2 linked regions of the Neurospora crassa OR74A genome follow. The protein of the gene in region 1 purifies or fractionates together with the protein of each later gene. This does not show direct contact. Links are inferred from orthologs where the notes say so. Each region holds a gene or a part of one and is shown on either strand. Other genes may lie near its edges.

Evidence for each region. The genes of interacting proteins can lie anywhere in the genome.
Region 2: the proteins of NCU00880 (region 1) and NCU06856 purify together in Saccharomyces cerevisiae (affinity purification with western blotting; 3 studies listed by BioGRID, with this or other methods). This does not show direct contact. The link is inferred for Neurospora crassa OR74A from reciprocal best matches to the Saccharomyces cerevisiae genes DOA1 and UFD1.

Annotation. Positions count from the first base shown.
Region 1 is NC_026501.1:6,880,833-6,887,198, reverse strand, and holds NCU00880 (phospholipase A-2-activating protein), read left to right. Parts: upstream 1-2,532; 5' UTR 2,533-3,107; coding exon 3,108-3,158; intron 3,159-3,213; coding exon 3,214-4,318; intron 4,319-4,372; coding exon 4,373-5,646; 3' UTR 5,647-5,913; downstream 5,914-6,366. Other genes in the region: NCU00879 (WD domain-containing protein, variant), read right to left, coding at 508-1,439, 1,514-1,640. UniProt on the Saccharomyces cerevisiae protein: Ubiquitin-binding protein involved in protein ubiquitination, sorting and degradation. Acts as a ubiquitinated substrate-recruiting adapter for chaperone ATPase CDC48 by binding mono- or polyubiquitin chains.
Region 2 is NC_026502.1:1,740,919-1,746,939, forward strand, and holds NCU06856 (ubiquitin fusion degradation protein), read right to left. Parts: upstream 3,635-6,021; 5' UTR 3,417-3,634; coding exon 3,414-3,416; intron 3,325-3,413; coding exon 2,179-3,324; 3' UTR 1,896-2,178; downstream 1-1,895. Other genes in the region: NCU06857 (hypothetical protein), read right to left, coding at 1-880; NCU06855 (hypothetical protein), read left to right, coding at 4,180-5,682. UniProt on the Saccharomyces cerevisiae protein: Functions at a post-ubiquitation step in the ubiquitin fusion degradation (UFD) pathway. Has a role in the endoplasmic reticulum-associated degradation (ERAD) pathway.

The sequences.
Region 1 (6,366 bases):
CCTTGGAAGACCTTGCCAGCCCAGATGCTGTCGAGAAGAATAAAGCATATTCAGAGGTACCTAGCCACATCCCAATATGTATGTGCTTTGTGGCTTCAAGCCGATTTCGAGCATAGCTCAACGCAGGGTGGATGCCGGTCTGGTATTGCGCGTCAAACGAACAGGCGACAAGGGCTTATCGTACTTGTTCGGCGAATAGCTGAGCAAAAGGTCGGAAGTGGTATCGGAGGGTGACTCGACATCAATCTCAAACCTGAGAGGAGATGCCTTATTGGCGTGACGCCTCGGACGGACGGGTGAAAGGGGCTTATCGTACTTGTTTGGCGAATAGCTGAGGAGATCAGAGTGAGGATTCACGGCCGATGTGACCGGAACCTCGAAGCTCAGAAGATCAAGAACATCAGGCGTAGCAACGCCTTGGTTGGTGATATCCTTGAATACACCCGTCGTCTGTTGGGAAAAGTACTCCTTCGCTGAGCCAAAATCGGGGCATTGATGCTTCTTCTCCTAGTCGGTGCCACTGCCGGATACACCCCCACGCCAGAGCCCGTAATAGCCGTCACAGTTCTTCCACATCTTGATTGTGCCATCCTCTGACCCAGTTGCATACAAATTGCCGTCGGGAGAGAACGCAATGGACCAGATGGGGCCGTGGTGACCCTTGTGCACATCGATTTCCTGGCCCTCGTCCCAGGTGTAGACGCGAGCCCAAGTACCCGGTTCTTCGCCAACAACAAATTTTCTACCCTTTAGGTCCAGCCCAACACTAGCAATTCCATGGGGAAGCGTGATCCTCTTGAGCTCATCCTCAGCTCGGCTTCCACCCCAAAAATAGGCGGTTTTTCCCGCAGCCACCGCCAGGACAGGCAAACCGCCACCGATATCGGTGGGAGCGCTATGCGAAGGCGCAAGTGAAACCAGCTCGCATGACTTGATCTCGCCTTCCAGTTTCGCCTCACGCACACAACGACGAGAGGGAAGATCGAACCAGCGCAGCGTGTCGCCAGACGCGGTGATGATTACGTTGGGGTCGCGAGCCCAGACGATGAACTTGATGATATCTTTGTGTACCCCTTCGCCAATCTCAAAGGCTTTGGATGCGTCAATTGTGACTGGTTCGGGACTGGTGCCCGATGGTGAAGTAGCCGGCCTCTGATCCGCCAGGTCAAAGATGCGAAGCTTCTTCTCGTATCCGCCAGTTGCCAGCAGTCCGGAGTTTTCGTACGGATAGGCAATGGCGCGGACAATATGGTCATGCTTGAGGACATAGAGCAGTTCGCCGGTGTGGGTGTCCCAGATCTTGGCACTGAAGTCCGCAGACGAGGTGGCAGCGGTCGATGCATCAGGGCTGAGCCTTGCTTGCCATGTAGCTCCCTTGTGCCCTAGAAAGGTGCCGATCCAATCACCAGTCTGGCCGTCGCGGAGCATTGGGTTGCCATCTGTAGTGAAGAGCCACGTCAGTAACCGTCGTCATGTATGGTTGTTGGCTAACCCGTAAAAGACCCATGGGTACCTTTGCAAGAAGAGATCATGTAGTAGGAATCTTCCTTTTCAAGTGGGGAGAAGCTCAAGTGGGTGACAGGCCGCGAGTGGCCATGGCAGGTCAAAGGGACTGTCTGGCGGCGCGCGGGTTCGGTCATCGTGGATCGTGATGTAGTGATATGTAAGGACTGAAGCAGGCTACAAGAAGCCTGAACGGCGGTCGTCCCTTGAAGAGAAATAGAGGCAGTAAGTCCCGTCGATTAGTGAGGAGTATGCGTGGAGAGGCGGCCTAGAGTATCGAAGAAAACGCTGGTGATGACGCCGTGTATGATGAGCAAAGCCAGGAGGGGCAGGTCTATCGTCAGTTTCGCAACGAAGTCGAGTCGAAGAGTCGGACAAAGGAATGGAAAGCGTAACGGTCGTGAAGAGGGAGAGCCCAAAATCGTCGTATTTAACCGGAAAAGAAATGGAGAGATGATGCCAGAGTGGTGATCATGTCTCTAGGTCGTGGCGCCGTCAAGAGTAGGTAATTAAGAGGAGAAAGAATGGGTTTGGCGTTTGCTCTGGCTGCAACGGGGCGATGCACTGGTGGCACCTGGTTGCCGTTTAGGGTGTCCCCTCCGTCACAGGTGCCCCTTGCGGAGTCTCCATGTAGGGACTACATAGACCTATCCGCTGGAAGTGGGTGCCACCGGCAGGCAGGGGGCAACGCGGATGCTATCAGATCGATGACAGTCCCAGGTTCTATCGCCATTTCAAGACCAGGAAGGTGTTTATCCGAATAAGTATCCGATATCAAGGCAACTATCTGCACTATAATGTACTATGGTGTTGTTTCCAAGTACTCGTAACTTGCAGGGTTTAGGGTATGTGAATAGCTGTGATGATAAGTCAACGTCTGGAACCTGAGCTTGTAAGTCGAGGCGTACACAACCTATCGTCAACCTTTACAATACCTGAAGACGGGATTTTGACACCTCCAAACTACAATGATAGGGCAAATAGTCTAAACGAAAGTGACGTGATTGCAGTCCGGCGAGGCTCAGTCACCTGAACTAATGTACATAGCAAAAGGGCATGGGAAGGATTGACTGACCAGACGAACCTCTCCTGTCCGTACTATCAACCTCACCCCCCGGGCCCCAGTGGCTCAAGCTCCCCCGCCTCCTGCCAGGTGCAGTGCGTCAACAGGATGGGAACCTAACACAGGCAACGTTCAACGACCCGACAGTGATGCCCCGCCAACCGCCCCTGCCGGTATCGATACGGGCGGTGGTATCCGCAACTCCAGTTCGTCATCTGTCAGGTTCGCAGGGAGGAAGCTGAGGACCGCTCCTGCCATCGGAACTTCGACCCAATTCCCATTCCTTCTATTTTCCCAACATCAGTATACCCTCGGTTTCCTTACAAATCAAGCGCATCCTTTTCTCTTCCATTTTACGTGCTAGTTCACCCTCAACGTGCTCGAGCACCGAACCACGACTTATATTGCCCTTCTGAGACCCGTGTACGCCGGCGTTGTCCCGTTGTCGACTGAAGGAGCACGCTCGCCGCCCCGACTGAGCCCCGCCCCCGTCTCTAACCCATCATTATCGGCCGAGGTCCCAACAACAACGACAACAAAGATGGTGCAGGAGTTCAAGCTCTCAGCCCAACTAAAGGGCCACGAATCTGATGTCAGTACGGCGATTAAGAGACCCGTCATTCAAAGCTAACACGTGCGTCACCCAGGTTCGGGCAGTTAGCTTTCCAGCAGCCAACGTCGTCCTCTCTGCCTCCCGAGACCACACTGTTCGACTTTGGCGCAAGGCGACAAGCCAGTCGCCCTTCGACGACACTATCGTTAGCCAAGGTCACGGCTACATCAACTCTCTCACCTTCATCCCACCCACTGGCGAATACCCCGACGGCCTGGTTGTTTCAGGCGGCGCTGAGCCCATCATCGAGGTCAAGAAGCCGAATGCGACACCTGATATCAATGCCGAGCGACTCCTAGTTGGACATGGCCACAATGTGTGCACACTCGACGTCTCGCCCGACGGAAAATGGCTTGTTTCTGGCAGCTGGGATGGCAAAGCGATCGTTTGGAATACTGCTACTTGGGAGATGGCCCATGTGCTCGTCCATAACATGGACAACAGAGGTGTCTGGACAGTCCTCGCATACGACGCGGATACCATTATTACCGGTAGCGCCGATAACAACGTACGGGTATTCCGACTAAAAGGCGCTACGGGCCTCGAAATCGAAGCTTCACGCACCCTCAGTACCGGTGATGTTGTGCGCGCATTATGCAAGCTTCCCTCAGGCCTGAAGGGGCACCCCAGCGGTGCTGATTTCGCCAGTGCCGGTAATGATAACGTCATCCGGCTATGGAAGTTGTCAGGAAAAGAGGTGGGAAAGCTTCAGGGCCACGACAGCTTCATCTACTCACTTGCCGCCCTACCCACCGGCGAAATTGTCAGTTCTGGAGAAGACCGCACTCTGAGAATCTGGAGGGGCTCCGAATGCATCCAGACTATTACACACCCTGCCATCTCGGTGTGGACTGTGGCCGTCTGTCCCGAAAATGGCGACATTGTGTCCGGTGCCAGCGACAATATGGTCCGTGTCTTTACCCGGAGCGCTGATCGGACAGCGGACACCCAAACCATCGCCCAGTTCGAAGAGTCTGTCCGAAGCTCGGCAATCCCACAGCAGCAGGTCGGCTCTAATATCAACAAGGAGAAGCTTGATACCAAGGATTGGATGCAAACCAATTCCGGGACCAAGGATGGCCAGATCAAGATGATTAGGGAGGAGGATGGCACCATTGGCGCCTACCAATGGTCCATGGGTGAGTGCAACTAGCCCGCCCTTAGTCTGTGAATCAAGCTAACATGTTACGCAGGTCAACAACAGTGGATTCACGTCGGAACAGTCGTCGATTCTGCTGGTAGCAGTGGCAAAAAGGTGTCGTACAATGGCCAAGAGTACGATTACGTCTTTGACGTGGATATTGAGGATGGCAAGCCACCACTGAAGCTCCCTTACAACCTGTCGCAGAATCCGTACGACGCGGCCACCAAGTTCCTTGGTGATAATGAACTGCCGATCTCGTATCTCGACAATGTCGCCAACTTCATCACACAGAATACTCAGGGTGCCACCCTAGGACAGGCCAATGAGGCCCCCTCGAGCGACCCTTACGGTACCGACTCTAGGTACATACCTGGCCAGGACAGTCAACCTGCGAAGCCTAAATACTTGCCGCATACCGAGTTCCTCAGTTTGACCAGCGGCAAACTTGAGCCGGCCCTTGCTAGACTCAAGACGCTCAACACCAAGCACATTCAGGCCGGGAACAAGCATATCGCGATGAACCCCGATAATGTTGAGATTCTTGAGGAGCTTGTCAAGCAGCTGCTTCAGCCAGCTTCTGCTGCCGGAAAGTTGGCCAACTTGGACGCATCAAAACCCATTCTCCTCACACTCGTCACTCAGTGGCCGTACGCGGACAGGCTGCCAGCGCTCGATATTCTTCGTTGCCTCGCCGCCTGGCCTGCTGCGGCTTCCATCACAGACGACCGCTATGGCGACATCATCGACATTGCGGTCAGGGGAGCACTTGACGTGGAGGACACTGTAACTGCAGACGGCTCACTGAGCGACTTTATCGCCAACAAGCTTGACGCAACAAAAGCAAATGCTAACAGCGTCATGATGGCTCTTCGTACCATTCTCAACCTTTTCAAGCTTGACGATGGCCGGAAGCTCGTAGCCAGCAAGGCCGGTGTTATTTTGTCCTTTATGGGACACATTGTTGGTCTCGACGGGGATAAGGGCGTGATTGGCGCCGAGAACAACAATTTCCAGATTGCCCTGACTTCGGCGGCCTTCAACTTTGCTTGCCTATTTTACAGAGACAGGAAGTTGGATGCGAACTTGGACGAAATTGCGCTTCTCATCATGATTGTTGAGGCAACTGTGCGTAAGCAGAAGGATCCTGAAGTCCTGTTCCGCGCTCTAATGGCGCTCGGCATGGTTCTTTCTATTGGCCCACAGCCGGTAGCGGAGGCGAAGAAGCAGGGAGTTGATGCTTGGTTGACTCCGGTGATCGGGCAGACTCGGGAGCAGCGCCTCAAGGACGTTATTCAGGAGTGTCTCTCGTATATTCGGGCGTGAGGATGTCGGAAAGGAGTGAATGCCTGGATCTGATATCAATATAGTAAGGGGTGTTGAGATGGAGGGATTATTTGACGGCGGTCAATGCAGTTACCATCTAGCACCAGTGAGCCTAGCCGGCGTAGAGCTGAGCACGTTCAGTAGATACAGATGATCTTGAACTCTGACCACTTGGTCATGGGTTGTGCGCTAATACGTGCTTATCGTCTCGCCGCGTATATGACGGTTGCAGTAGGTATCTTTCGATGACATGTTCGAGTAGGCGCCCGGCTGTTTGCCGAACCGATCATCTGATGTGATCAAACGGTGCAGTGAGCGGATGAGACGAAGAGTTGAGTGAAATCTGTGATGATGGTACCTACCTATTTCAGTTTTGTCAAAACCATGGTCAATGCATAAACCCAGAAACAATGTCATTGTCAAGTGATTGTGGTCAAGTGGAAGGCTTTTGCGTCAAGCAACAAACAGTACACTCGGGAAACGTTCACTAAGACACCAGTAGTTCATACCAACCGGGTTCAGTATTTGTTCATTTCATAGTCGCGAGAATAGCAGAGGATGAAAGAGGAAAGAGGTACATACAAATCGACAGAATAAAGAACTGAAAACGCGCGCCTGCCGTCGCCCGCGCTAGGGAATCTTGTAACAAAAAAATGGTTCCAATCCACCTTTCCTTTCCTGCTTCCCAGATAAACGCCTAGTGGACAAATCGATCCGTCC
Region 2 (6,021 bases), on another chromosome or scaffold:
CTTTGGGTTCCTTTTCGGCAGTGTCTTTTTCGGCACCGCCAGAGTGGACAAGGTCCAATTTAGATTTCCTGAACGAAGCGGGCGTGCGTCTCTTAGTGGCAGTCGCCGGCGTGTCTCTTCTTCTCTTTCGCTCTGGGGTACGTGGAACTGACGATTTCCTGGCTCTGGCTACGGATGTGGCCGTTGCTCTGCCCCTGCGAGGAGTGGGGGGACTTTCCTGGTCGGTGTTGACAATGTCGTCATCTTCTCCGTCGGTGTCTTCATGGAAGAAGCCGGACCGGGGACGGCGCCGTTTTCCTAGCGCCTGGCGACCGGAGGAGGCAACTGCTCGTGACTTATTGTTGAGCTCGGTCCGAGATGGACGCCCCCGTCTTGATATGGCGGACCTGCGTGCGGGTTGCCGTGCATCTTGTTCTCCGTCATCATCATCTTCTTCTTCTTCTTCGCTGTCGCTTTCATCAGACGTAGTAGAGGCACTGTCGCTATCGTCGGAAGAGTCTTCACGATAGTTGATGGACGACTTACGCGGGCGAATATTGTGATTTGTAGTGCTGGTGTTGTTGTCATCACCTCTACGGCCGTTGATCGAACGACGTGGACCACCACCACCACTGTTCCGGGCTGCCCCTGCTGCTGAATCCCCGCTGCGAGCGCTTCGTCTTAGTGGGCTCGCTGGGCCCAGATTTGATGTCGCACCGCGGCCGATTGCAACACCAACAGCGGCTCCCACAGCACCACCCCCCTGACTCCCGGCTCGGCGTGGCCGCAGACTACGGCCACCACCCACTGCCGCCGCTACTTCTAACGCCTCCGTCGCCGATAATGCAGATGATCTAGTACGGCTTCGCGCCGAAGCCCGCCGGGCCTCCACCTTGGACATGGCTACTAGCTGTGCTGTTCAGCAAGCGGCATCGAGTGGTGCGAAAGGGTTTGTTTGCAATTGATTGTTTGTTTGTGGATATGTACGAGTAGCAAAGAAAGAATATGGCAAGGTGCATCCAGCAAGGTTGCAGTCAGTTTGTTTTGTTGCCTTGGTGTTGTTTAAAGAAGACGGATGGTTGCGAGTCGGAAGATGGCTTCGGTTTGCGACTGATGATGAATGGTCCGGTCGCAGTGAGCACAGAACCAGTCCGGAACAGGAAGTGGTCAACCCTGTCAGTCAATCAATAAATGCCCTGGAAGTGGGAGGCGCTTTGGGTTTGCTTGCTCACTGTGCGGAAGTGCTAAACCGACAATGCCGTTCGATTTCGTCCCTTTTCAACCAATCACGGGACCCAGCCAGCCTGCTGCACGACCCACATTAGCTAATCAAGGACTTATCTCAAATGATGCGACCGACCGAGTTCTTGGAAGTGCAACTGGGAAAAGCCAAAAAACCGCTGGTACTAAACTAACATCAGAACTCAATGTCATGCTGTTGATGTTGTCGACTATATTCGTTCCAAGCATCGTTGACATATGACTAATCTTTAAGGATGCAAAATTCTGGAAGGAGAGACCTCGAAGTGGATGCAGGCAGAACTCCGGACCTTCCTGGCATGACACTGACAAAGCGACTGCTCAAGATAAAGACAAGACGGACCAAGCCGCTCTCGATGCACCGTCCACAATGAGGAAAAAAAAGAAAAAAAACCAGGGACTCTTTGTATCATGTCCATCTTGCACCAAAGTCAAATTCCGGCATTTCAAGGGATCAAAAAGAGAACAAAAAGAAAAAAAAAATTTAAAATTTTTTTTTTTTTTTTTAAATAAATTGGTGACGCCGCAGCATACTATGCTGGCAAAAGAAAAGATAACTCGATCCACCCAGGGGTCGAACCTGGAACCTCCTGATTCGTAGTCAGACGCTCTGCCATTGAGCCAGCGGACCTTGTTGAACATCACCTTGGCATGTTCCAGCTATAGGAGGACATCGAGGTATCATTTCCTTTTTCACTAATTCTAGTCAGCTGCATGGGCCTATGTAAACATCGTGCGGTTCAGCACTCAACATCCCATATACAGCCCTTTTCTATCTTGAAACGCATCGTGGCCTGTCCATGTGTATTCGTAATGACGCTACAAACGTTCCGTGATCCCTTGACTGTGAACCTCCCTTTCCCATGACCCTGTTTCCCATTAACGCCCGACAATGCATCAAACCATCTAGTAACAAGCTTGTTGAACGAAAGTTTGTCCCTAGACATTCCTGCCGTCAAGTCGCCTTCCCTTGCTCTCTGTCGGCTTCTTCTCGCCTTGCGCCGCCTTGTCGTCACCATCGCTGCTCTTCTTCTTCGGGACTCCTCCCCGGAGCGTCTGTCCCTGGCCCGCAAAGTGCGGCTGCTTCGCCGCCGCCGCCTCCCTCTCCTTATCTGCGGCAGTTTTGACAGGCTTGATCTCGTAGCCCAAGAAGAGCTTGTTGGGCGGCAGACGCAACGGCAACGGGCCGTTGTTGTTTTTCCTCCTGGGCAGCACCACGTCCTTAACGTTGGTCGACGTACCCGCCACCGGCGTCGCCGGCTTCGGTGTTCCCGTCTTGCTACCCTTCTTCGCCGCCAACCGCAGACCCTCACCTTGAAAGTTGCCCACCGACGTGGTGGTGGCTCCTGGTGCGATGGCATCGTAGTTGATAGCCTGCGCCATGGTTCCCTGGTTGTGCAAAAGACCACCCGCCGGAAGTCCTCCGCCAACAGCCCTTCCGTTGCGTGGTGTGCTGGTACCACTGCCTTGTGTCTGTCGCGAAGGCTCGACGTAGCCAACTGGCGGCGCAAAATCGACGCTGACGTCTGTCTCGATCATGCAGACACCCATCTTGGCCGTCTCCGGCTTGACGTCCAGTACCGCCATTTCGTAGATCTCATCGTTGTACTCAAAGTTGAAAACGTCGCCCTTGGTCAGCGCCGCAAAGTTCCGGAAGGCCTTTTCGAGGACGGCACGAGGGTCGCTGATGTCGAGGAAGTTGACCGATTGCGGTTGGAGCTTGACAAGCCTGGCAAGCTCGAGAGATGTCGTCTTGATCTGAATCATGTCGCCCACGTCGAGCTTGAGGGTCTGCATCATCCACTGCGGGATGTAGGCCCTGCCCTCCTCAGCCACGAACTCCAGAACACCGGCGTGTGTGTGGGTGCCCTGCGAGCCGTTGATAAGCTCTAGCATGATGGGCCATTGGACGTGTAGTCGCGAAACCTTGTCGAGAGCGGAGGGCGGGAGCAGAATCTTGGAGCCGTAGTTGAGTTCAGGTCGTTCGGCACCGGGCGCCATGACAAGGGGGTAGCAGCGGTAGTACTCATCGAAGCGTTGCGCGCCCCGAGAGCGACCAGTGGCGCGACTGTAGATGTCTCCATACTGTCATGGGCACATGTTAGAATGTTTCAAGAGATAGAGGGGTCGAAAAGCTGTCTTGATAATCGAGCGTGAGGACAAGGATAGCTTACCATGATCGCGAGGGAGCTGCTAGAGATGGAGTAAAGTATTTTGCAGAAAGGGAAACGACAGGGAATTTGTATTAAGAGGGGAGATCTCGAGGTAAGCTTCGCAGAATAGGTAGTGGGATCCGGAACAGCAGAGCGTGACAAGCGATAGTGAAAGGGAGGTTGCGACGATGTTGAAATAACCTGACCGCGTGGAAGGTTCCAAAGGCAACAACGCAGATGACATAACTGGGCCCGAAAGTTACAGGCACGTTAGGTAATAATTGGAGCCCTGGCATGGGTACCGTACAGTACCTACCTCTATGTATCTGCCGCCTCGGCGGCCCGGATTGGCGGGGTGAGAAGGTGCCGCCGTGGCGTCAGATCTGTGAAACCGTGCTGCCGTGGCGCGAGCTCCCCCCCTTCTTAAACGCTTAGGTCAAAGGTACCTTGAGCGCTGCCTGTCCACTGCAGAACGCTCTGGACCTTGATGGCAGTGGAGAGCTCCATGTTATCCGTTGGGGCTGACAACGGGTAAGGTACCTCTAGTGATGTTCTTCCTTGATATTCCCAATTCGCCATCTAGATCCTCTCTTAAACACCATCCTCTACTTGTAGAGTTGTCATTCGCCGTCGACCCAGGCAAAACAGTCATCATTTCAGGCCATATCTACACAAAGTCTGCGATACAGGGGCAGAATAGGCCATTCTATCAAGACGACATAACCTTTACACGCTGACGTCAACGCCTACACACCAACACACGAGATTGAAGACAACAGCCACCACCATGTCCTCCCGCTTCTCCGCCGCGCGCCCCAAACGCGCCAGCGAAGCTTACGCCCGCGCCCACCACGGCGAATCGCGCTCCAACGACGACGACGACACCTCCAGCGGGCCGTCCCACAAAAAAGTCAAGTTCGACGTGCGCAACCCCTCCGCGCTCGCGCCCTCAGCGCACGATGACGACCTCGACGAAGCTGACGAGGAGGTTCTTGCCGCCGACGTGATCGGTGGGCTTTCCCGAGCCACCAAGCGCGGCGCGGTCAACATCGATGGGTACGATTCCGATTCCGACAATGACAACCTGGAAGACCGCGCGGAAGCCCGAGGGAAGAGCCGCAAGAAGGGCAAAGACGCCGAGGACGTGGATCTGGCCGAGATGATGGATAATTACAACAAGCCTTCCAACGGGGCAGGGAAAGATGCCGATGAAGATGACGAGGTAGACATGTTTGGCGATTTGGAAGACGACGACGGTGCTCAACCAACGACAGCCGGTGGTGGCTCTGCGAAGGACAAAAAATCCGTCCACTTCCTCGCCGACTCGGAAATCGAAGGGCAAGACCTCTCTTCCAAAGCTGGCGGAACCATCAACATCAACCCCGCCGCCTCAGCCGAATCGGACGACGAAGACGAAGACGACGACGACGAAGAAGCCATAGCAGCCGCCATCGCCGAAGAGGGAGTAGACGAAGAGGTCGGCCTAGGCGGACTGAAGAAACATGCGCCCAAGATTGACGCCTTCAACATGCAAGCCGAGAATGAAGAGGGTGCCTTTGACGAGGCGGGCAACTACATCCGCAAAGCGGCCGACCAAAATGCCGTGCACGATAAGTGGCTGGAAGGCTTGTCCAAAAAGGAAATCAAAAAAGCGGCGTTGGCGCACGAGAAGCGCGAGGCGGAAAGGCGCGCGCAGGAGAGGGAAGATGACAAGATCGCCACTGGGGACTTGCTTAGAAACTTGATCCTGACGCTCGAAAAAGGGGAGACGGCGCTGGAGGCGCTGGCAAGACTTGGAAAAGATCAAACCAAGGGGCCCAAGAAGGTGCCCAAGTGGAAGCAAAAGAGGCAGGAAAGGAAACAGGGCATCGATTCGATGGACGTGGATGACAAGAAGGAGGAAGTGGAGGATCCGAAGCAGAAAAAGATCAGGGAGGCGATTGATGCCATTACTGAGGCGGCGGATAAGTTGTTGGGAAGGGATTATCCGGATATTTACGATAAGGAGAGGGAGTGGTTGGTGAGAGAGTATAGAGCAGAGACGGGCGAGACCTGGGTGGAGCCTACTGTTCCTGAAAAGGAGGAAGAGCAGCCATCGTCACTAAACGGACAACCCAAAATGTGGGAGTTTAGGTGGACAGATGGGAGAGACGGAGGAGGAAGCCAAGGGCCGTATGACGGGCCCACCATGAAGGCATGGCAGGATGCGGGATACTTCAAGGAGGCGGTTGAGTTCAGGCCGGTGGGCGGAGGGGAGGGGGAGTGGTCTAGGGTTGCAGCCTTCGTATGATCATCATGGTTAGGTTTTGTACGATTGTGTGTGATAGTATACCCCCGGTTCCAAGCGACGAGAGAATCAAAAGCCTTATCACCATGCTGGGAACTCCTCAGCAGCTGGTCGTCATTCGTCCCTACTATGCCCTTTCCTGCTACCCCACGCTTCGACTTTGATTCGATTCGTTGTATGATACAAACGGATATTTGCAGACTCCATGCCATCACCATAATCAGTAACATGACAAAAAACCACGACTAGGCACACATAAAGCTTAAGAAAACAGTGTTATCATAACAAAGACGCCTTTTTGATGAGCCATCCCAATTAAACGCCTAGACGAAACAAAATCAT